2 linked regions of the Tamandua tetradactyla genome follow. The protein of the gene in region 1 purifies or fractionates together with the protein of each later gene. This does not show direct contact. Links are inferred from orthologs where the notes say so. Each region holds a gene or a part of one and is shown in the gene's direction. Other genes may lie near its edges.

Region 1 (11,067 bases):
TGAAACCCCACAGACACTGGATTGGGTCAGCCCATTTGCAGATGCTTAAGTGAGATCACTCTCAACTGACGGTCAGTCTCACGCTCATTTTCACTCCTTCTGTTCCTCACTGTCAACATCTAGGGGCATCTGCACAGAAGCCCCAACAGACTGACACTAGAAAAGTACTACTTCCACTAAGAGATTTTCACAGAAAAAAGTTGGGAAATTTACCAAGGAATGGAGAATGCTTCAATCCCGAAATTAAAAAATTTCATTCTTTAAAGACTTTGAACCCATTGAGAAACCTCAGTTTAAAAACCTTTCAATTGATTCTAGTTTTCAAAAGAGAACCATGGTGAAGGCACAGCTAGTAAGTCTAATTTAACGTAACAGATTGTCTCCTCATACGTCCCATTTTGCATTCTACGTGAACAAACTAACGATCCAGGTTTTTTCTACACTCGCACTTACTGTATTTATGGGACAAATTCAATCCCAGACACAGGTATTAGGGCTTGGAACCAGGCCGCTGTTACTGCCCCTGTGAAAGATAACGTAGGAATGCTATAACAAATATTTAGTTTAAAAAACCGAGAAGGGCTTTGAAAATGTAAAAGTGTAATATAAATGCTAAATAAAGATAATATATTCTGAACAGCAGGCTCCTTTGAAATAGGGCCTTTGAATTCCATTAGCACTCTCTGTTTACTTGCTTTTAGGAACTTTTAGGAGGAAGTTGCACGAGCGCATGCTTGCCACGCGACACCTAAGGCCTAGCAATCAGCCACTGAAAGGGGCAAGTGGGATGTGCAGATGCACCAATTCACATGATGATAATGACTCTCTTATTCAGGGAACACTGACTGCACCCCTGCTGCATGCAGGAACAGGTGTGTGCCGGGAGCACTGCAGGGGACACAGGAGAAACCCAGTGGGCTGTGTCCTGTTAGTACCCCCAGTTTGCAGGTGGAGAAACTGAGGCGACCTGCCCAAGACCACACCTTGGCACATGGTGAAGCTGGGACCTAAATCTAGAAGTCCACCTTCCACTACTGAGAAAAAATGGCTGGAAACCGGATTGCCAATTCAACTAACTTGGCCCGCTTTAACTTTGTAAGGTCAAAAAAATGAGTTACATGCATTTGCTTCCTCTGGGTCTTTTATTTATCTTTGGAGATTCTACTCAGTTGTCTGCAAGGGGTGGGGAGTCTCTGTGGAAATACTAGCAAAAATAGGAACTGCAGCTATGCAGAGCGTCACCTCGTGACCACAGAGCGGCCAGGCCTCTCTGAGACCAGAATGGCATTTGGGATGAGAAGGTCACACAGAGTCCAGGGCAGGGACCTGTGGAATGCTGCTCATCTGCTGCTCCTCCCGTGAGCTGACTTTGGCTGTTCTTGACCTCATGGTTTCTACTTGGGCATCACGTCTAACGCCCCACGGCCGCGGTGGGGCGCCCAGTCTCTCCCCTTTTCTCTCCGTGAATCTTTCAGTTTTTGCAAAGCTTGCCAGCTAACTTTTTCTATCACAGGCCCAGTTCATATGGCCAAGTATGAGAAGACTGGCCTGTTTCATTACATTCTCACCCACAGAGAAGCTGCCCACAGGCCAGGCCTGCCACTCGGCTCAGTCCATAGACCAAATATCCACTCCTGGGCCAGTCAGCTGCGGCCAGGAGAGCGGGTCAACTGGAAGGCACCTCCCAGAGCAGGGGGCTCTGACGGAGGGGAGCTACTGGCACAGACAAGTTCTGAAGTTTGGCTTTTGCCCTCTCTCACTGTTTTTTTTTTTTTTTTTTTTTTCCAGCATGGGCAGGTTCCGGGAATCGAACCCGGGTCTCCGGCACGGCAGGCGAAATTCTACCACTGAACCACCGTTGCCCACCCTTCTCTTACTTTTTAATTAAAATGCTTCTGAATTTAGGTTTAAATGAGTAGGTGTGTTATGAGAAATTAACATAAATTACCTTTTGCTTTTTAATTTAGAAGTCAGTTTACAATCCCAGATTCTCCTCTCTTCCAGATATGTCTATATTTGATACCTTCTTTATACCTAAATTAAATGATAATAATCACATCTATCCCAGAGTTCTTCATATATTTAATTTCCTTAAGATATTTTCAGTATGATACACACTAGGAGTCTTTCCTTTACCTGATAAGTAATATATCCTTTTCTTTCACTCTCAGCATTTCAATGACATTTTGCTACCACAAGCTCTGTGCTAAGAATGTTTGCAGATGTGTCCCAGGAAAGACAATCAGGATTCAAATTAGAGTACCTACAAGCACATTTCACTGTTATCTAGAACTAACAGGAAAATCAAACTCGGCTCTGACAAATATCAATAATAAAAATCTTGGCCAAATCAATGGTAATGTCATTTTGATACTTGGAAAAACATGGAACACACAATTATGTAGGTTTAAAAAATCAATAACTTGACTCCTACTTAAAAAGTAAGATAATACATTAAAATGATGATTTAAAGGATCGTTCATTTAGAAAAATCTCTATGGATAGATTCAATTTTACCTTAAGACTTGTGCCCACTAGCACACATTGCAATCCAGGGGCCTGAGGTTAGAGAAGGAGTTTGTGGCTATAAAACAGATCAAAACTAAGTAGCCATTAGGGAATGGAGTTTCGTCCTTCCATCTCATTAGCACCCAGCTTTACGGAGTGAATGAGCTCTTCAGTGATAGCATTCTGACACCCAGCAGATGGGTGGTTCTCACTCCTTCCTTAAAATTCCTTTCCTCCATATCATTTATACTAAAATGTGAAGGTGCTCCCTGCAGGCCTTCCTAGAGGAGTACGTGCCAGAGGGCAAGTGTGAGCAGTGTGCCTATCAGGGCAGGGCGAATTTAGTGTTAGAAAAAGGAAGCGTAGGTATCCAAACTGAAGTTCACAGACGGTGGAGGTGACAAGATGGAGAGAGGTTAGTGTGGCCTGTGCCTGGCAGTGCTGATGGAGAGCCCCATAATGTCTCTATAGAGTGCAGTGACACGTTCAAACATCTCCCGTGTATAGTGACTTCAGGTTCAGAATATTTAGGAGTGGAATAACTCGAAATTATTTTGGGGGGAAGTCTGGGCATAACAAATAAATATAAAGAAAAACAGAGCAGTGAGCTAAAACTTAATTTGGGCTGCCAGGGAGGTTATAGACCACCTGCCCTCGGCCTGGAGGATGGGTTAGCTGGGCGACGGGCGAAGGGGGGAGGGTGGTGGAGGATGGTGACAGTAAGTGGTGCTGGTGAGAAGGGATTCATCATGAATTACTAGGCCTTGACTGAATGGTGGAAGCGTGTAGGGAAGGCAAAGAAGCTTCTACCAGTATGTTACCATTTAGGGAAGAGGTAGAGAAATATCCTGTAAACAGGATCTGTTAATATGAAGAATAAAACAATGTCATCTAGATTCCAAGACAGTATTCTGCCTGTCTCAGATGGCAGCATTGAAGGATTGTCTGTGGACAAAAAAAAAAAAAAAAAAAAATGGTAGCAGTCTTTAAAGCTATCCTTTCAGGGAGAACCTCCAAAATCTTTATCACCCTGAACCACAACACCCTGGGAACAACTGAGATGAAATTTTTTGAGGTGTTTCTCATGATTTCTGGAGGGAGAAAGAAAATGCGTTGTGGAGACCCTCCACTCAGGCTTATTTTTGTTAGTGAGCCTCAGCAGATGAGCAGTTCCCAGGCAGGCTCTGCTCTGCACGGGCCCATGTGCTCAGGCTCCCTCTGATTCGATCACCCTCCCACCTACCTTCTTGGGGGAAGGCTGAGCCCATAAGCCACTGACCTCTGTCCTTCCAGGATTAGCTTAGCCATCACTTCTGCAAAGCCTCCCCGCAAGACCATAAATGCTCCTGGCTTGTGCTGGCTTTACACCCCATACTTCTAGCATTTACCATGCCATCATGCAATGTCATATTAACTAGATGTCTCTCTCTCATCAGGCCAAGTTCCTCGTGGCCAGGGCAGTGTTTCGATCGTGTTTATTCCCAGCAGCTTGCAGACTCCTCAGAGCACATGGTAGAAGGCCAGTTTGTGTTTGCAGAATGTTGACCTGATACCTCTGAAAATACACCTACAATAGACATATCATCTAGAAATTATACTGAGGGAACGAATCTAAAACGATTTTTTTGGAAAGAGGACTTTCAAATTACTTTTAGTCTATTTGGGGTAGGGTCTTGGGTTTGCACATAGCTCCTGGCCTTGCTTTCCTTCTCCTTGTGTGGCCTGTTTTCGGTCATGACACTGCTCATGATGCCAGAGCCAGGGAGAAAAGCGGACAAGCCGAAACTCCCATCAGTTCCGTAGGCTGCGCCTGAAAGGTACGATGTGGTGGGTGAAATCGATAGCTAGCCCTGGATTGGGCTTATCCACAGTTCTGGCTGACCAAGCCTTCTGCACTTCACACCCCTCTTTCAGCTTCCCAGGGCTTGTCCTTTGTCCCCAAGGAGAGGCCGAGCCATATATCCAGATTTTTGGCTCTAAGAATTCAGCCACCATACCAAAAAAGAAAGAGTTGGGTGGTCTGCTTCTCTAGGGTAATTTCATGGTGCTAAGGAAAGACTTGAACAATTTATTTTCTGAAACTGGTTCAAGAAACATTCCTTAAGTGAAAAATTCAATCAAGAATAATATTTCTTACACTTTGGAGAAGGATTTTTAATACAGAATTCCATCTGTGATATATTTAAATTCTAGGCCTCAGGCAGCAATTTCAGAAAAGGGCCTCCTTCACCCTGGGTTAGATGCAAAATAAATATCCGGGGGGGGGGGCTCCCCCATTTCTGAAATCGCACAGGCTATTCTTTTTTCTCGCACAGCAAAGTGTGTTATTGACACGAAAATGTTCACCACAACTTCGATTACGTGAGTCTTTGTGTAAGGACTTGTGTCTCGGAAGACGGCCTTGCTAGAGCCGGCCTGTGTGAGGAGAGGAAAGCTGTCCGTGCGACCCGTACTCTCTGCCTGGGTTTTGATGTGTTAACAAAGACAGGCTTCGGTATTTGGGGTGTCTGAACACACCAGGACGAAAGTCCTCCACTTGCTTATTGCTGAGGGCCCTTCGCGTTGATTTCGGAGCCGATCCGCGAGTCTCCCCATCTCCCACGGTGGAGGCCTGGCTAGTTTACAATGTCCGTGAAGACAGTCAATGCTGAAGGAGGACGAGGAGCACGCAAGGTGAAACCCCGCACTTGGCCGCGCAGCCTTCGAGGCCCCAGTGAGGGGGGTGGCGGAGGGGCTCATACTCTGCCAGGGCTGAAAACTTTCTTTCCTATTTTCCTTGGCCTGTGCGCGCACGTGGCCTCGGGCGAGTGTCTGTGGGGACGAGGGCCCACTCTTTAACGGCTGAATGCACACATCCAGCAGCACATGGTGGATGAGCTGCTCTGCGAACTGCCTTAAAAAATGTAAAGTGAAAAACAGACAAAGAGAGCTGTCACCTTCGCCGCCCTTCGCGTTTGTTTTGCCCGCCCTGGCCACGGCTCGGAGCCGGGCCCAGGCCGGGAGAAGGTGCACCTGAGGCGGCGCGTGCGTGCGGGCCGGGCCGGGGTGGCGGCTGCTCTCCAGCGCAGGGCGCAGGCAGGCAGGGCGCAGGAAGGGCGCCAGTAGGCAGGGCGCAGGAAGGGCGCGAGTAGGCAGGGCGCAGGCAGGACGCGGGCAGGCAGGCAGGGTGCAGGCAGGCAGGGCGCAGGCAGGGTGCAGGCAGGCAGGGCGCAGGCAGGGCGCAGGCAGGGCGCAGTCAGGCGCAGGCAGGCGCAGGCAGGGCGCAGGCAGGCGGGGAGCAGGCAGGTCGCAGGCAGGGCGCAGGCAGGCAGGGCGCAGGCAAGGCGCAGGTAGGCAGGGCGCAGGCAGGCGGGGTGCAGGCAGGGCGCAGGCAGGCAGGGTGCAGACAGGCAGGGCGCAGGCAGGCAGGGCGCCGGCAGGGCGCAGGCAGGCAGGGCGCAGGCAGGCAGGGCGCAGGCAGCAGCCGGGAAGCGGCCCGGCCCGCCGCGGCGGCGGCGGCGGCGGCGGCGGCGGCGGCGGCGGCAGCGCAGTTTCCCTCTCCCCAGCCAGGCTCCACGCGCACATGCGCACTGCGCCCGCAGCCCTGGACCATTTGTCAGGACTACTCGTGAGACCGAGAAAAAAAAAAGAGAAAATTTGGGGGTAAGAAGCGGCTGATCTGATCGAATCGCTCGTTAATCTGCAGATCTGTACGTGCCAAAGGCATTCATTTATTTTTCTGGGTGAGGATGAAAGTTCCGAGCGCTGCCGAGGGAAGGAAGCGCACCCTGCCCTTGTGAAACAGACCCGGGAGGGGAAAGGACAGAAGGGGTTTCTCCCCCACTTCTCTCCGCCTCTGGGAAAGAGGAGAAAACTTAATCCCGGGGAAAAAAGTGGGCAAGTGACTCGGAAGGGGCTGGAGGGGGAGTCCCCGGGCATCTCCCCGTGAAGTAGTGAGCGCGAGTGTGAAAGAGGAACAAAAGAGCGAGAAAAGAGAAAGGAAAAATGGGGGGGAGGAGAGACTTGTCTTTTTTTCGGTGCGCGCACCCGGGGAAGGGTGTGGGGGGCCGTGCGGAAGGGAGCCGGGCGAGGCGGCCGCGGCGCGCTCTGCGGGAGGGCCCCCTCCCCGCGCGCCCCCTCCCCCGAGCCTGTCACTGGGGTCCCTCTCCTGACGCCGGGCGCGGGCGGGGGCGCGTGCCGGGTGGGTGCCGCGGGGCCGCCGCCGGGGCGGCCGAGGCGGGCGGGGGCGGCCGGGCCGCGGCTCGGGGCGGCGGGAGGCGGCCGGCCCCGCGCCCGCCCCTGCGGCCCCCTCCGCCCGTGTGTGGCCTTTGTGCCGGGCGCGCACCGGGGAGCGGCGGGGCGAGCGCGAGAAGTCCAAGTACGGGAGACCGAGGCAGTGGGAAAAGAGGCCGGGCCACTTTCTCCGCACTCGGGCTGCGGAGAACGGACTGGTTGAATGTGCAGGCGCGCCTGCCGGCGTGTGCTGGGTGTGCGCGGCGCCGAGGCCTGCCCGGCTCCCACCGCGCACACGCACACTCACACGCACGCACACTCACACTCGCGCGCGCACACACACACACACATACACCCGGACCCCGCGGCGCGGCGCGGCCCGGCGGACCCGAGTTTGCGTTGCCTTCCTCGCCGCCTCCCCCTGCCCGACCGACTGTGTGAGAATTTAATAGAGAGCAGCTCCAATTTCCGCCATTTTGGGAAAGTTGCACAAAAATAAACCCTCCGGTTTATTTCTGCCGGGGCCGGGAAAGTGCCCGGGGAGGCGAGGCGGCGCGGGCCCGCGGCGGCCGTGCGCGCGGGGAGGCGCCGGAGGGCGCGGGCCGGGCCGGAGCCGGTGCCGTCGCGGCGTTCGCCCCGCGCCGTGTCGCGCCGCGCCGCCGGGGGCTGCGGGCGTGTGCCGGGAGGCGGCGGCGGCGGCGGCGGCCGGGAAGGGGGGCCGCGGGGGGCGGGAACGCGGGGCCGCGGGTCCTGCAACTTGTTTACGCCCGCCCGAGCGCCGGGAGGCGGCCGGGGGTCCGCGCGGGGGCCGTGCCGCGGCCATGGGCTTTGCACACTCGCGTCCTGGGCCCGGCGGCCGGGCGGGCGGGGGAAGTAGAGGCCGGCGGGGTGTGTGGGGGGGGACCGGGAAGCGCAGGAGCCCAGGCATCCGCCGCGCGCCCCGCGAGCTGGGGGAGGGGACCGGGGAGGGGGGAGAGGGAGGAAAACTTGAGAGCCCCCGAGACGTGGGGGGGCGGGGGTGGCGGCGCGGTGACACGGGCGGGGGGCAGGGTGCAACTTTTGTGCTGGTGGTAAAACTTTAATTACCTTTAAAGAAAAAAGGCCCAATGATCTGGGTTTTCGGGTCCCCCCCCCCCCACCTTCCCTCCTTCTGGTCAAAGCTCGGCCCACAGCGCGACCGTGAGAGAAAGTTGAAAAGCGGGCGCTTTCCTTCCCGCCCGCCCGCGGAGGGGTAGGGGTGTCTGGCTGTCTGTCCGTCCGCTCTCGGGGGGAAGTGGGGGTTGCGAGCCGCCCCACGGGGTCGCGAGGACGGTGGCACTTACCCCACCCTTCCACGGGGAGACGAAGGTAAACGTCGCTTTGGTTTCCCTTCACAGTCCCCCCCCCCCCCCGCTTCCTTTTCCTCCCCTCCCCTCCGAGTTTTCGAGGGGACCCGAAAAACGGAGTCTCTCTCCTTATGCAACTTCCTCGGGCGCCGCGACCGCGGCCTCGCCTGGCGCTGCATCCCCGGGCCGCGCCTTCCCACCCAGGCCGGCGCCCGGGAACGCCGCCGAAGGTCGCTGCGAGCGCGCAGAAACAAAAATAGACGAATTGTTCGAAGTTGAGGGAAACTGAGATAAGTGGAAATGGGGGGTGGGGGGCGGGGGGGGGAGGGGGAGCGCGGCTGCGGCGGGCGCGTCGGTCTGTAATTTTGCGTTCCTCTGAGCGCTGGGATGCCTTTGTGGGTCCGGGAAGCCCGGGACCGAGGCTCGGCACTGGGCAGCCGCGTCGCGTGGGTTTTTGCGCAAGTTTTTAGAAAAACACTGACTCGAGTAGAGCATTTCCCCGGAAAGTTTCAAGTGCAGCAAAATCGCGAACGTGCAAAGCTGGCCAAGGGGGGACCTCTAGTGGCTGACCGCGGGCGGAGACTCGCAGGCCCAGGGCAGAGTTTGGCCTTTTCTCGCTCGTCGGTTCCGACGTGGAAGTGGCCAGCCGGCCTCGGGGCGAGCGGCCGTGCGCGGTGTGGGAGGATGCTGGTGGGAGAGGAAGGCTGGCGAAATCCGAGAGCAGGGGGCCCTGAGGGTTCAACCCCTCTGACTCCCCCATCCCCCTCCCAGGGAGAAAGACATTTTGCTTCCATTCTGGGCTTTGGAATTGGTATTGTGTGCTTTTCTGTTTCAAGTCCTCTGTGTCTCTGATTCGTTTTTCATCACGAGTCATAGCAGATATTGCATTTGGAGTGTTAATAAAAGTACGGGGTACAGTGTGGGTTTAAGGACAAAGTCCTTTGGCTGAAGTTTTCCTTTCCTTTGAGCTGATCAGTGTATTTTCTAATAAATATAATTTTAGTGTGGAGTTTCTTGACTGTTTAGTTAGTTATAATACATGTGAATGCTTAGAGAGTTATAGCGTATACGGTCCCTTTTAGTTGTGAGAGTATTACTTTGTTTCATTAAGAAGGTATTTTTGGAATACTTTGTATAATTTGTGAAACTTAAATATATAGCAAAAATTGCTTACATAATATCTGTTGTTTTGCTCGTGTGTCTTGTAAAGTATCTTTAAAACTAAAGCAATATGGGACATTAAAGCTGAATCCAGTGATTCCTGAACTTTTCACCTGTTTGTCAGGTCATGGGAGAGGCCTTAGTGCAAGTATTCAGCACGTGGGACTATTTTGAATGATTAAAACCCATTTCACCTCATCTCAGACTAGTTGATTTTATTTTGATGTGCACAGTGGCTTGGGGTGAGATGATGCAGATGTCAGTGATTCGGAGTTTAAGCTGATTATTAATTGGGGGTTGGGGATTTCAAGGATTATTTTTGACACCCATGCTTGGAGTTTATCTTTCCTCTCTTTAAATCCATTCTAGGCCTTGGGGTGGACAGCGGTTGTGAAGACCTCCAGACAGTTGTACCTTTCTGCACCGCCACAAGGTAAGATTTGCTGGTGGAAACAAATTGCTTGACATATGTACACGTGTTAAAGGCTGCTTTGGGGAATCAGGAAATGAATTGTGGGACATGGTTGGCAGAAAAGCATCATTATATAGGATTTCTTTGACTGTATTGAAGTGTTGACACTAAGGGTAGTTGAGGCTGGAATAACACACTTGGAAAATTACAAGACTACCTTGCATAGTCTTTGGCCTGACTTACTTGCCAGATTCTTTTTTTTTTCCACTTTGTTTTATTTTATTATTATTTTTTATTTCAATGTTTTTTATTATAAAACAGCAAACAAACATACAAACATTCTTGACATACAGATATTCATGACATAATTACAATCGGTGGCTCACAATAGCATCACATAGTTGTGCATTCATTACTATGATCATTTTTTTGAACATTTACTTGCCGGATTCTTAATTGGCATGTCACTTGTACCTGTTTTCTACTGGAAGTAGATTGCTTTATTCTTTGGAATTGATGAAGTCAGGAAAATAGAACAAAGGTGACCATAAATCTATATAACTACTAAATATGTATGCTGTGAGATCATGGAAGGTTCTGGAACTTTCACTGTCTTTGGGGCCCAGTAGTGAAATTTTGTAGGTGAAACCTCCAGAGCGAGCTTTTGGGCTTTTAAGAACTGAACTTGGACAGTGGTCTGACTTGTGCCAGACATCATCGTGTAGTGTCATTGTGAGGTTCTGGAGTGTTGGTAGACTTGTCGACTTTTGAACACGTCTCCACAGGGAGCGTAGCTGTTGGCTTCTGAGATCCCTCGGGTAAACTTGGAGGGTGCTGGCTTATGTCCAGTTATCCAGGACCTACCCAGAGGACAAGGGTCATCACATACACAGCAGCCAATGGTCTGGTAGAGCGTCTCAGTACACAGGGACCGCTCCAGGTTTCTGCTGTTCAAGCTTTCTTTGTGTTTCGTTTTTGGTTTCTCTCAGCCTTTCCCTCTTCTTTTCTGCCTCGTTTTGGTTTCCGATCTTCTTTTTCTGTCCTGCATTTCTGTTCGGAAACACGGGAAAATTCAGCCTTAGTTATGGGTAGGACTCATGATCCTGGTTGGGCCGCCTGGCAGCCGGAACAGTGTGGTCTCGAAGCCCCAGCAGACGGTTTGCAGATAGAAAAAGGATGATTAAAAGGCACGTATTGTCATCTTCTGCTTGCCGGCCATCTCCCGTAATGTACTGAGCTCCTGTGGATGGTGCGGTGGAGACAGTGGGATGGAGGAGCTGCAGGGACGGGTGCAGACAGGATAGAGTTCACAGAAAGTAAAGCATGCATCCTAGGGTGATGGGTTCTGCGTTTGGACATGCTGAGCTGAAGGCCATGGCTGTTTCCTTCATTTGAGGAGTCCTTGTGGAAGTGAATGGAATGCTAGCATAGGGACGAGAAGACTGGATT
Region 2 (10,423 bases), on another chromosome or scaffold:
AATTTAGTGGAAAATGACAAAGAATGAAGGTGATCAGAGAGATGGTAAAAGATGTGGACAAGAGACAACAGAGAACAGACATATGAACAATTGCTGCTTTTGAAGATGTGAATGAACAAATGAACTGAAAAATTTACATAATCAAAGAATTTACTGGAAAAAAAGTCTTAAAATCACATTTTGAAGAGGCTTATGACAATCCAAGAAAATTTAGAACTTCAAAGATAAAAGAAAAAAATGCTATAGTCTTCTAGGCAGAGGGAAAAGATCATCTTCAAAGACAAAAACAAAGTCAAACATATTCCTAGCAATGTTAGATGCTAGGAGAAATTGGAACAATTGTTGATAAATATTTAATAGGAAAAAAAAAGAAATTCTATATCTGGCCTAACTGCTTTTCATGTATAATGGCAACAGAAAGAAATTCTCAAATAGGCAAGAACTTTAAAAACTTACATTTCTGAAGAATATATCTTGAAAAAAAATTAAGATAACGAATAGATGGGTAATAATAATAATGAATTCATAAATGAGACATTCGTGACACAAAAAAATTTGACCCTGAGCTTTGAATCTGTTTACACGTAGAATTATATTTAAATAAGTGGTGTTTTAAGTCATAAGAATTAGATATAATTATGATTCTTAAATTAAAATGTACACAATATAAAGAATACTATTTTGAGAATAGACTAGAACAAGATTTGCTCTCCAGACTATTTGGGAGGTGGAGAGAGTCTAAGTACATTGATTTCACCATCTTTCATCATCATTTCATTTCTAAAGCTGAGAAATAAAATATAATGCTATTTTAAACCGATTTACACCTTCCATATTAGATTATGGTAGGTCATTCTCTCAAGTGCCTCGCCCTGGTCCCCGTCTCCTGGTATTTATGCTCTCGTGGGTGGACTGGAGCTAATGACTTGCTTCTAACAAAGAGAATATGACCAAAGCAATGGGGTGTCACTTCTGAGCTTAGCTATAAAACGCTGTGACTGCAGTCTTGCTTGGTCTCGCTGCGGCTTTTCATAGGCTTGCTCTGAGGAAGCCAGTTGCCATATTGTGAGCTGCCTAATGGAGGGGCCATGTGGCAAGAAACTGAGGCCCTCAGATCCACGGCCCTCAAGGAACTAAACCTTGCGCTGGAGTTTGAAAGCAGATTCTCTCCACGCTGAGTCTTCCGCTGAGACCACCTACACTGAGACCACCTATGCTGAATGAAGCCCTGTGAGATACTTTGAGGAAGAGGGCTCAGCTAAGCCAGGCCAGGACAACAACATAAATGTGTGTTGTTTTAAACCGCTAAGTTTTGGAGCAATTCGTTATACTGCAATGGAGAGAAAACTAGTACACGGAGGAAGATAAAAATAAAAACAAAACAAAAACAAGGAAAACACAGATCATAAAGCAAAAGATAGAAAAAAAAATACAGATTCAAAATAAAATAGGTAGTAGAGATTAGACTAAACATATCTAGTTAAAATAATTGTAAGTGGGATAAAATAAACTTAAAAATGCATTAAATGGGACAAAGGGAGTCACTTTATAATGGCAAAGAATGCAACTCACAATGAAGTTATCTCTATTATGAATCCCCAGTTATCAAATAATAGAGCATTAAAATCCTAAAGCACAACTTCAAGACATAAAATCATAAAGCACAACTTCAAGACATGAGAGGAAATATTAAGAGAAATGTTAGGAGACTAATAAATTTCTGTTCTTGAAAAGATGAGAAAACGGATATAGATGTATGTAATATGATCAAAAGATTGATGTAATAATATCTGCTGTGTAATAGATGTTCAACAAATATTTGTTATATGAACCTTATAGGGTGCAAAGGAAAAAAATGCTAATACTTTAAGTATCCATGTAACATTTACCAAAAAAAAAAAAAAAAAAGTACATGTTTAGGAAAAAATAGACAATATACACAAAACATTTAATCGTTTATTCTAGGAATGGGTTTATTGGGAATTTTCACTTTCTATGAATAATTTGATCGTTTTAAATTTTTACCATATACCTATTTGTTTTCATAATAGACAAAATTTTGTTTATTAAATATAAAACAAGATCTTTTGTTCTACCCCCATCTCTCCTTAGAATTTCTTTGAATTTTTGCCCATTGTCTTTTTCTTTCCTTTTATATCAGAAAACAATCTCCCCTTCCTTCCAAGGACAGCTTGTAGTTCTGATTCTCACATCACTCCCACATTTTATTCTCCCAAGACTCTGCACATCCCTTAATCTCTTCCTATTTTCCATCCGCCAGCCCCCAACTCCTGTGCCCTATGGAATCCTGATTCCTCTCCTACAGCGAATCCATCAGTTCTGAATCTGACCACTTTTCCACTGCTTCCACTCTATTCAAGCTACTATTTTCTCATCTGGATTACTGCAGATGAGATTGCTGCAATAGCTTCCTACCTGGTTTCCTTGCTTGCACCATTGCACACTATGACCCATCTTTAATAGAGAAGCCAGAATAATCCTTTAAAAATATGTCAAACCATGTCACACCTCTGCTCAAAACCCTCCAGCAGCTGTCCATTTCACTGAGTGATAGCCAAAGTCCTTGCAATGCACTACATGTCTTCTATCACCTTCCCCCAGCCCAGACGTCATCCCTCAATCCACCTACTGCTCACCCCCAACTCACTCTAATCTAACCACATTGGCACTCTTGCTGTTTCTTGAAAATTCTATGAACAAACTTGTCTTGCAGACCAGACTATGCTGGACGGTTCCCTCTTCCTGTCATGCTTTTCTCTCATAAAGCTACAAGGCCATTTTCTTACCAACTTCAGATCTTTCCTTGACTATCACCTTCTCAATGAAGTTTACCCTGATCACTATATTTAAAATTTCAACCCACATTCTCACTCATACTCCCACTTCCCTTTATCCTGCTTTAGTTTTCACAGCACTTACCACTTTATAATGTTCTGTGGATTTTACTTACTTTATATTTATTATTTATTGCCTGCCTCCCACACCACCCACAGACATTAGAATATAAGTGCCATAAAGGCAGAGAAGATTTTGTTTTATTTACTGATGTATCTCAGATACCTAGAATAGTGCCCAGCACATAGTAGGTATTCAAGAGATATGTTGACTGCAAGAGTAAATGGTTCCCAGCCTTGTCAAACCTAATGTACCCCTTTTAGAACAAATATAGGGTAATATCCTCTTTACTATCCTGAAGTGAAAGGCATATGCTACCTACACATGCAATTTTAAAAAAATCAAAGTGATGCCTTAAAGGAAAAATTAAATTAAAAGAAAGTAACTTGTGATTCATATGGAACTACTCAGGTAAACTAAAATGCACAAGGAAGTAGCCAGATGCTTGCAACCATCTGTAGGATCATAATGCAACTGACAGCCACAAAATGGACTGTATTAGCAACTCAGATTCTATGAATGGTTTGTAGCTGATGAAGTGGCCAAATTCTGAACAAGATAAATTACAATCTCCCCTTGTTTATTCAATAGCTACAATCCAGGAAAATTCAATATGTCTTAAAACTGTGCAAAAACCACTTTCTGTTTACAGGTAAAACCTTTTTGTTTATATGCAAAAACCTTTATGTTTATATGTAAACAGGTTCTAGGCTCAGATATTTATAAACAGGTTTTTCGTCCATATGAATGAGCAGTAGGACAGGCAAAAAGTTGCACAGAATGCAGGACAAGTCTTTGCTGAGCAGGACTGTCCTGGGCATTGCAAGATGTCTAGCGTCTCTGACTCCACCAACTACATCCCAGTAGTGCCACTTTCCAACCATTGTGACAAGCAAAGTCACCCTGGCAAATTGCCAAAAGAAAACCCTGAGTACAGTTCATTCCTAGTTGAGACCCACCCTCTTTGGGGTTACTTAGTCTTCAAATCCTGTAGCCTCCTTCCTTTTGTTATTGGCCACTGGATACTGTTGACCAGCTCTTCCCCAAATCTCTTTCTTCCCTTGGCTTCTATGTCACTGCTTTCCCCCTTCCTCTTCATCAATTCTTGCCTGGGATCATTGTCTGACTCCTTGTCCCCACCTGTCTGCCTCTGCTCTCCTCTTTTTCTCTCCACAAGCTCTTCAACTACTTTTCCTAAGTTCCATCCCTCACTTGATATCCACATCCACATTTCCAAATGCTATTTGGTCATTCATAGACGGAAGCTACACATGTCCAAAATCAAGCTAGTCATCTTCCTCTAAAACCGTCATTGCATCCATTGTACCTATGTATGTGAATGGTAACATCATCTACTTACTCAGGCTAGAAATGACAACCAACTCTGATCCCTTTTTCTCATGCCCCACATCCAATTAATTGCACTGCTCAAGTCCCTTTTCCCCTGAATGTGTCTCATATCTGCTTCCTTTCTATCAAGGTAGTTCAAGCTGTCATTACCTTGTAGCTTAGGATAGTGCCACAGCCACCTAATTAGAAGTTCTACTTCAATTTTTCTTTTGATACTTCCACAAAGGGAGTTTCTGCAGATAATAATAATTGTAGCCAACATTATTTGAGTCTTTATGATATGCCAGGCACTTGAAATATCAGGTGCTTTCCATTTCTTTTAATCCATACAACGATATCATAAGGTTGGAACTATTATGATTTAAATGAGAAAATTGAAGTTTAAGAGGTTAAGTAACCTACAGTCTCAGAGTTAGCTTGGATGTGACACCAGAATGCCACATCTATCTGACTTCTAAAATCCCTATTTGTTGGATACAACTTTTTCATATTGTCTCTAGTCTGATCATAACTTTATATTCAGTCTCTACATCTATCCCACCTGCTTTTCCTTCCCACTCTATCCCTTAACCCTACACTACTTTTCCACATAGCTTCTTGGCTGATGACAATCTTCTACTGGGTCTCTATGCCTATCCCATCTGCCTTTCCCTTCCCACTCCATTCTTCCCCCAGGTCCATCTTTAGTCTTATGTCCTTATTTAATAAGGATTTACTTAGACATTTCAAGAAAGTCCTTCACAGCAGGCTCCACTTCCGGCACTCACCCACCACACCCGTTACCCATCCCCCTTCTTATTCTTATTCCTAGCAGCTAGTTTTACACTGGAAAAGGAACAAGTGCAGAGTAGCGCCAACTTCTTCAGGTTCCATACAAAAAAACTTCTTACATCTTTATGGTTTTGGTGTATGGTTCTAATATGATGAGACAATTAAGTAAAAAAGTGCTTTAAAACCTGTGCAATTAATCACCCCATCCCCACACCCACCTTCGCATGCCCAGGGCTTTAACTGAGTTATTCTGTGAATCACAGAATAGGTGTTCCAAGCAGAGAATGCCACGTTTGTGTTCGGGGTGAAGTGAGAAGAAGGAAGGCCCTAAATAATAGTTTGGCCTAGGGAAATCTCTATACTTGGCCATGACCGTTCAATTCCAGCTTGAAACTTCATCAGGGTTATCATTAGCGAGTAAGATGGGAAGAGAATGGCATGAGCCTGAAAACACGTAATAAAAAAACTCTCTCTAGGACTGCCCACCTCCCTTCCCCAGCAACTTGGAGGTTTAGAGTTTTTGCAGATGTCCTGCGTTACATTCACAAGGTCCCTGTTACCACCTCATTTGCAACGCGCCTGGTCCCTTTCCGTCTCTTCCCGGCCCTTCTCCTTCCCTGTGGCCCCCACCCCTCGGACCCCCGCCCCGCCCGCGGAGAACTACAACTCCCGACGAGCTGTGCGCGCTCCCGCGGGCGGCACTCGGGCTGGGCGCGTGGTGGCCGCCGAGCTCTGCCCCGGGCACAGCCTCCCGGCGCGGGCCATGCGGGGAGGTAAGTGATCCACTGGTGCTGCGCGGGCGCTGGGGACGCGCCCGCCCTCTCCCCTCTCCAGGATAAAACGAAATGAAGAAAACCATAATAAAAACCGCCTTGCCCTCCTCGCCGTGTGACCGGTGCTCCTGCAGCTTGTTGCACTCACGAGCGTGGACTGTGTCACCCCAGATTGGAATTGGGGGCAGAAGCCGGGGCTCGCCGGGGGCTGCGGCGCCCAGCTTGCAGGATGGGACCCGGGGGTGGCCGTGCGCGGCAAACACCACACCTCCCACGCCCCCTTTCCCAAAGACGGGCTTTCCCCGGGAACCTCCATACTCAGAGGCGAACTGGTTCTTGAAAGTCTTTGCCAGAAACTTTCCTCCGTGTTGCCTGGAGCACAGGCGAGTCGTTTGGCTCCCGGCCGGAGCTGCTGCTCCAAGAGGCTTCCAGGCGTCCCTTCTCCTGGCCTCTCTCCTGCCCCCTCCGCCCCCTCTCCAGGCCGCCCCATTTCCCCACAGACGCCCATGCGTGGAACTCGGTGCTGCCCGTCGGGCGACTTTCTCGAGGTTGCCTCTGCAGCCACGGGACCCAGGTCTGCGCACAGAGACAGGCGGGACGCGAGGCACGGTGGGTGGTGCCTGCGGGGTTGTCTTTGGCTCTCGGGCGAGTCCGCTCTGCCGGAGGGGGCTGGGGGTGGGAGTTGAGAGTGCTGATCAATAAAAGAAGGCACAGTTTCCCGCCCTTCCTGACCCGCCTCCCCTCCCGTCTGAGCCTACACCCAAGTGTGCCGGAAAGTTCTGCTCCAGAATCCCCACCGAGGGCTCCGAAGTTACTGAAGCACATCCCATAATGTGCTGGATCAGAAGGACTGGTTTGGTTGCATCCGTCTCACACAACCCCCACACTGCGCACGCCGCAGACCGCTTACTACACACACATAACAAATGCAACATCCACACTGCACATACTACAAACACCACCCCCACACAACACCCACACTGCATACATCACAAACACAGCATCCATACACCACTACAAATGCCCCGCACACTATTCATAGACAACAGGCATACTAGAGAACATGTACACTATGCATATTACACAATGCTGCATTTATGCTTCCACTGTACATGCCATAACACCACACTCCAGACACACACACATTTTTAAACAGCAGAGAAAAGTGGCTAACAGTTTGTTGGAGAGTTTGTGGGATAGGTGTTTATTAGTGTGTGTGTGTATTCACAGCCACAAATGTCAGTTTATTGCCAAAGTTAGAAACTAGCTGATAAACCAACTTGTTGACGTGATCCAGAATGATTTTGGCTCTTTTTTTTTTTTTTTAATAAAATGGAAATGATTTCCTAGAGCACGCTCTGAAATCTGTACACTTGTCTAATAGGCAAACTCAACTCTGTCACAGTAGGAAAGACAAGATGGGCTGATCTTTTCTATTTTTAGGAAGAAATGCTTGGAGAAACTCCACAGAGTCCTCCCACCTGTGAGAGGGTCTAAGGCAGAGCTGGGTGTAACTACATCTTTTTTTTTTTTTTGGCTTCCCTCCCTTCAAGAGCGGTACCCTGAAGATGAAGAGCTGGTTATGACCAGTGGCATTACAGTGCTGTCAGGTTATCTTATTCCCCTTCTCTCACTCGCAGGACTCAGTCCAGCCTCCTATTTGGATTTAGCTGGAAAACAGTTCACAAATTTCAGACCAAGCCCAAAGATATTATGGAATCTGTTGGTGAAAGAACTCCTAATCATAAGAGTCCATTATTTTTATCAGCAGTGGTGAAGGATCCACCTGCCAGATCCTTACTGAAAATGTTCAGACACTTAGAATTCATACTCACATTATCATTTGCTTTTACAAGGGGGCAGTGGCAAAGATAGGTAGAGAGAATATATGAAATCTTTCTCAGTGATGATCTTTCAGGAAGTTGGAAATGTCTAATAACATTCCTGAAATAAGTAAGGAAAGAAAAAAGACAAAATTTGAAATTTAGGTTCCAAATTTAGATGACAGTTGCTGATCTTCTGGTGCCCTTAAAAGTTACTGAGAAGAAGTGAGGCAAGCAGTTTTCTCTTGAATAATGCCTGAAATCTGTAGCCGATTTTCCAGGACTCTTCTTAGGGACCTATATTTTCTGCCCTGAGTGATTTTGTTGTCATCTTGACCTAAAAGTGGACAAATTTTGATTGGTGCTTATTTCAATCAAGAGGCAGCCGAATTGAGGCTGGCCAAACAAGAGACCGGTGGAATTATCAAGTGTTACTTAATCAAAAGATTTTTCCCGTTCCCATTATCCCCAATCCTTCTTCCCAATTTCCTGAATGGGGATTTAGAGTGGTGGTGGGAGATACTGTGAAGTTGGAGTTGGCACAATGTCTTCTTATTCATATGTAAGACTAATATAGTACCAGGTGTTCATTGGTGCTCAATCAAGGTTGGTTGAATTTGTTGAATTATGCTTTGTGTACAACTAGGATAAAGAGTTAAAATTCAGCTTCCCAGAACTAATTGCTTTCTTTCTTTCCTTTTTTTTTTTTTAGAAAAGGTTTTGTTTGTTTCAGTTTGAAATTTTTTTGCTGCCTTCGTTTGGTGGGATGAATGCCAACATAAAAGAATGTGGTTGTTCTCACGAGATCTGATCATCTATTTTGCATCTACTCTGAAATTTATTTCTTCCTGCATAATGAAGTAAAAGGATTTTTGACTGGGCAGTGCTTTCCTTCTTCTCACACATCTTTATTAGGAAGAAAGCATAACACAGGACTCCAGCTTCCGAGTGTTCACTGATCATAGCCCCATAAGCACCTGAGTTGTTGTCTCTCTTAGGTTCGTTTCCCACAGAGGGGGGAAAAAGAATAGTTGGAAACCTTACATTCATGCCCAGACACACAGCAAAAACATACCATGTGGCAACAATGAAGGGGAGGGAGAAAATAAAGGGCCATTGATATCGCCTGTTGTTCTTTGTACAAGACAGGTGCAGAGAGAATTCTGCAGTTTGTGGCCTCGTGATTCATTCAGTTCCACTAATTGTGCTGAGGAGAGTTAGCGAAAGTGAACGGGCACACTGTAGCTTTAAAAAGGCAGCCATGAACCAGAAGGCAGTTGGTGCAGCTTGTGTGTGATTCCTAACGTCATGTTGGCTGAGAGCCAGCCTGGTTTTATTTCACTGTGTCAAATTGTACCTCCTTATTGAATTCCTTTGCCAGCCTACTTTGTGAAAGAAAACATTGGGGTTTCTTTGGCTGTTCTTGATAAGCCTATAAAAATTGCTATGTTTTAGTTGCTTCTAGGTAGGTTTTCTTTTTACTCTTCCACCCAAAATAATAATAATAAGACATTGTGGTGTGGTGTTGCAGAGTAGCAGTGTGAGTGTTTTGTTTTGTTTTGTTTTGTTTTCCTGAGATGCTCAGAAAATGGTGAATGTGTAACAGTTTCCAACTGAAGTGGAATCATTGTTTTGGCATGGAGCAGCAGCGCTGTCTTCCTGTCTACTCTGTAGCGGTGTGTGGATGTATGTGAATAGGTGTAGATCTGTATTCAATGTTGCTTTTCTCTAGCAATGCTCGAAATGGTTTAGCAACTGGAAGTTTGTATGTGTGTGTGTTTCAGGAGCGAAGATTATCCCACACAGTGTTGTTAATCATCTACTTCTCTAACAGCGATAAAATCTTGTGAAAATACTAAATGATGCACTTGTCATGTCAGAGTAATCCCTAGAGAAGGAGTGCCGAAGTATCAAGTGATTTGAGAAGAAATGTATTTAATTTATGGTTTCAGCTGTAGGAGAGCAAGCATGTTTCAGGACTAGTTGGGTTTTTTTTTTTTTTCCTCCCCTTCAAACATTTCTGTTCAGAGCTTTTTCTTCTTGCTAATTGTATATTAATTGTGGAGGGTTTTTATTTCTTCCCAGTCCTCAGCCTACTAAACAAAAAGACAGTGATAGATTCTGCTACATCCTCTTGAATGTTTGGATGATTTTTTACATAAATCTAATAAGCTGCCCTCTCTTACACACACACACACACACACACACACACACACACACACACACCACCTTCCTGTGCTAAGTGCTATCTGACATTTTGGTGGGCTTCCAGCTTTTTACCACAGCATGGCCATCTCACAGACGGGCTTTTGAGGTTTTCGTTGAGAATATGAGGTAGGGGGATACTTGCTGACAAAAGCTTTAAGTGCCCTTCTGCATTGGAATGAAAAAAATATAGGAGCAATGGGAGTGGATAAAAAAGAAATGCAATAAGGAAACAAATCACAGTCCATGATGGGAGGGGGGCAGGGAAAGGGGGATTGCTTTTCTTTACTTTCACCCATTTGTGAGTTGCAATGTCTTAAGTAAGAGCTTGGCACCCAGGGGAAGCCGTGCCAGTTCACACAGTACTTGTTTTGAAGGAGGATTCAATTTCATTTGCAAATGCTTATTGTCAAGACAGGGAGTGCCAGTACAGATGAAAGCACCCCAGTCTGTCTCGGTCTCCTTCAGTTCTTTAGGTTTAATCACATCTCTCTTAATCGCTGAGGGAACAGGAGATTTAAACAAACATACGTGAACTGGTGTGAAGCTGTAATGTTTCCGATACAGAATATATATTCTTCTCTC

The links. Proteins that work in one complex are often made in the same cells at the same time.
Region 2: the proteins of L3MBTL3 (region 1) and SAMD13 purify together in Homo sapiens (affinity purification with mass spectrometry; 3 studies listed by BioGRID and IntAct, counting the BioPlex papers as one, with this or other methods). This does not show direct contact. The link is inferred for Tamandua tetradactyla from reciprocal best matches to the Homo sapiens genes L3MBTL3 and SAMD13.

What each region holds. Positions count from the first base shown.
Region 1 is NC_135331.1:191,513,225-191,524,291, forward strand, and holds the start of L3MBTL3 (lethal(3)malignant brain tumor-like protein 3), read left to right. Parts: upstream 1-6,055; 5' UTR 6,056-6,150; exon of another isoform or gene 6,151-6,197; intron 6,198-7,058; exon of another isoform or gene 7,059-7,157; intron 7,158-7,890; exon of another isoform or gene 7,891-8,067; intron 8,068-9,575; 5' UTR 9,576-9,639; intron 9,640-11,067. UniProt on the Homo sapiens protein: Is a negative regulator of Notch target genes expression, required for RBPJ-mediated transcriptional repression. It recruits KDM1A to Notch-responsive elements and promotes KDM1A-mediated H3K4me demethylation.
Region 2 is NC_135337.1:40,793,059-40,803,481, reverse strand, and holds the start of SAMD13 (sterile alpha motif domain-containing protein 13), read left to right. Parts: upstream 1-5,739; 5' UTR 5,740-5,800; coding exon 5,801-5,810; intron 5,811-8,891; exon of another isoform or gene 8,892-9,098; intron 9,099-9,876; exon of another isoform or gene 9,877-9,967; intron 9,968-10,423.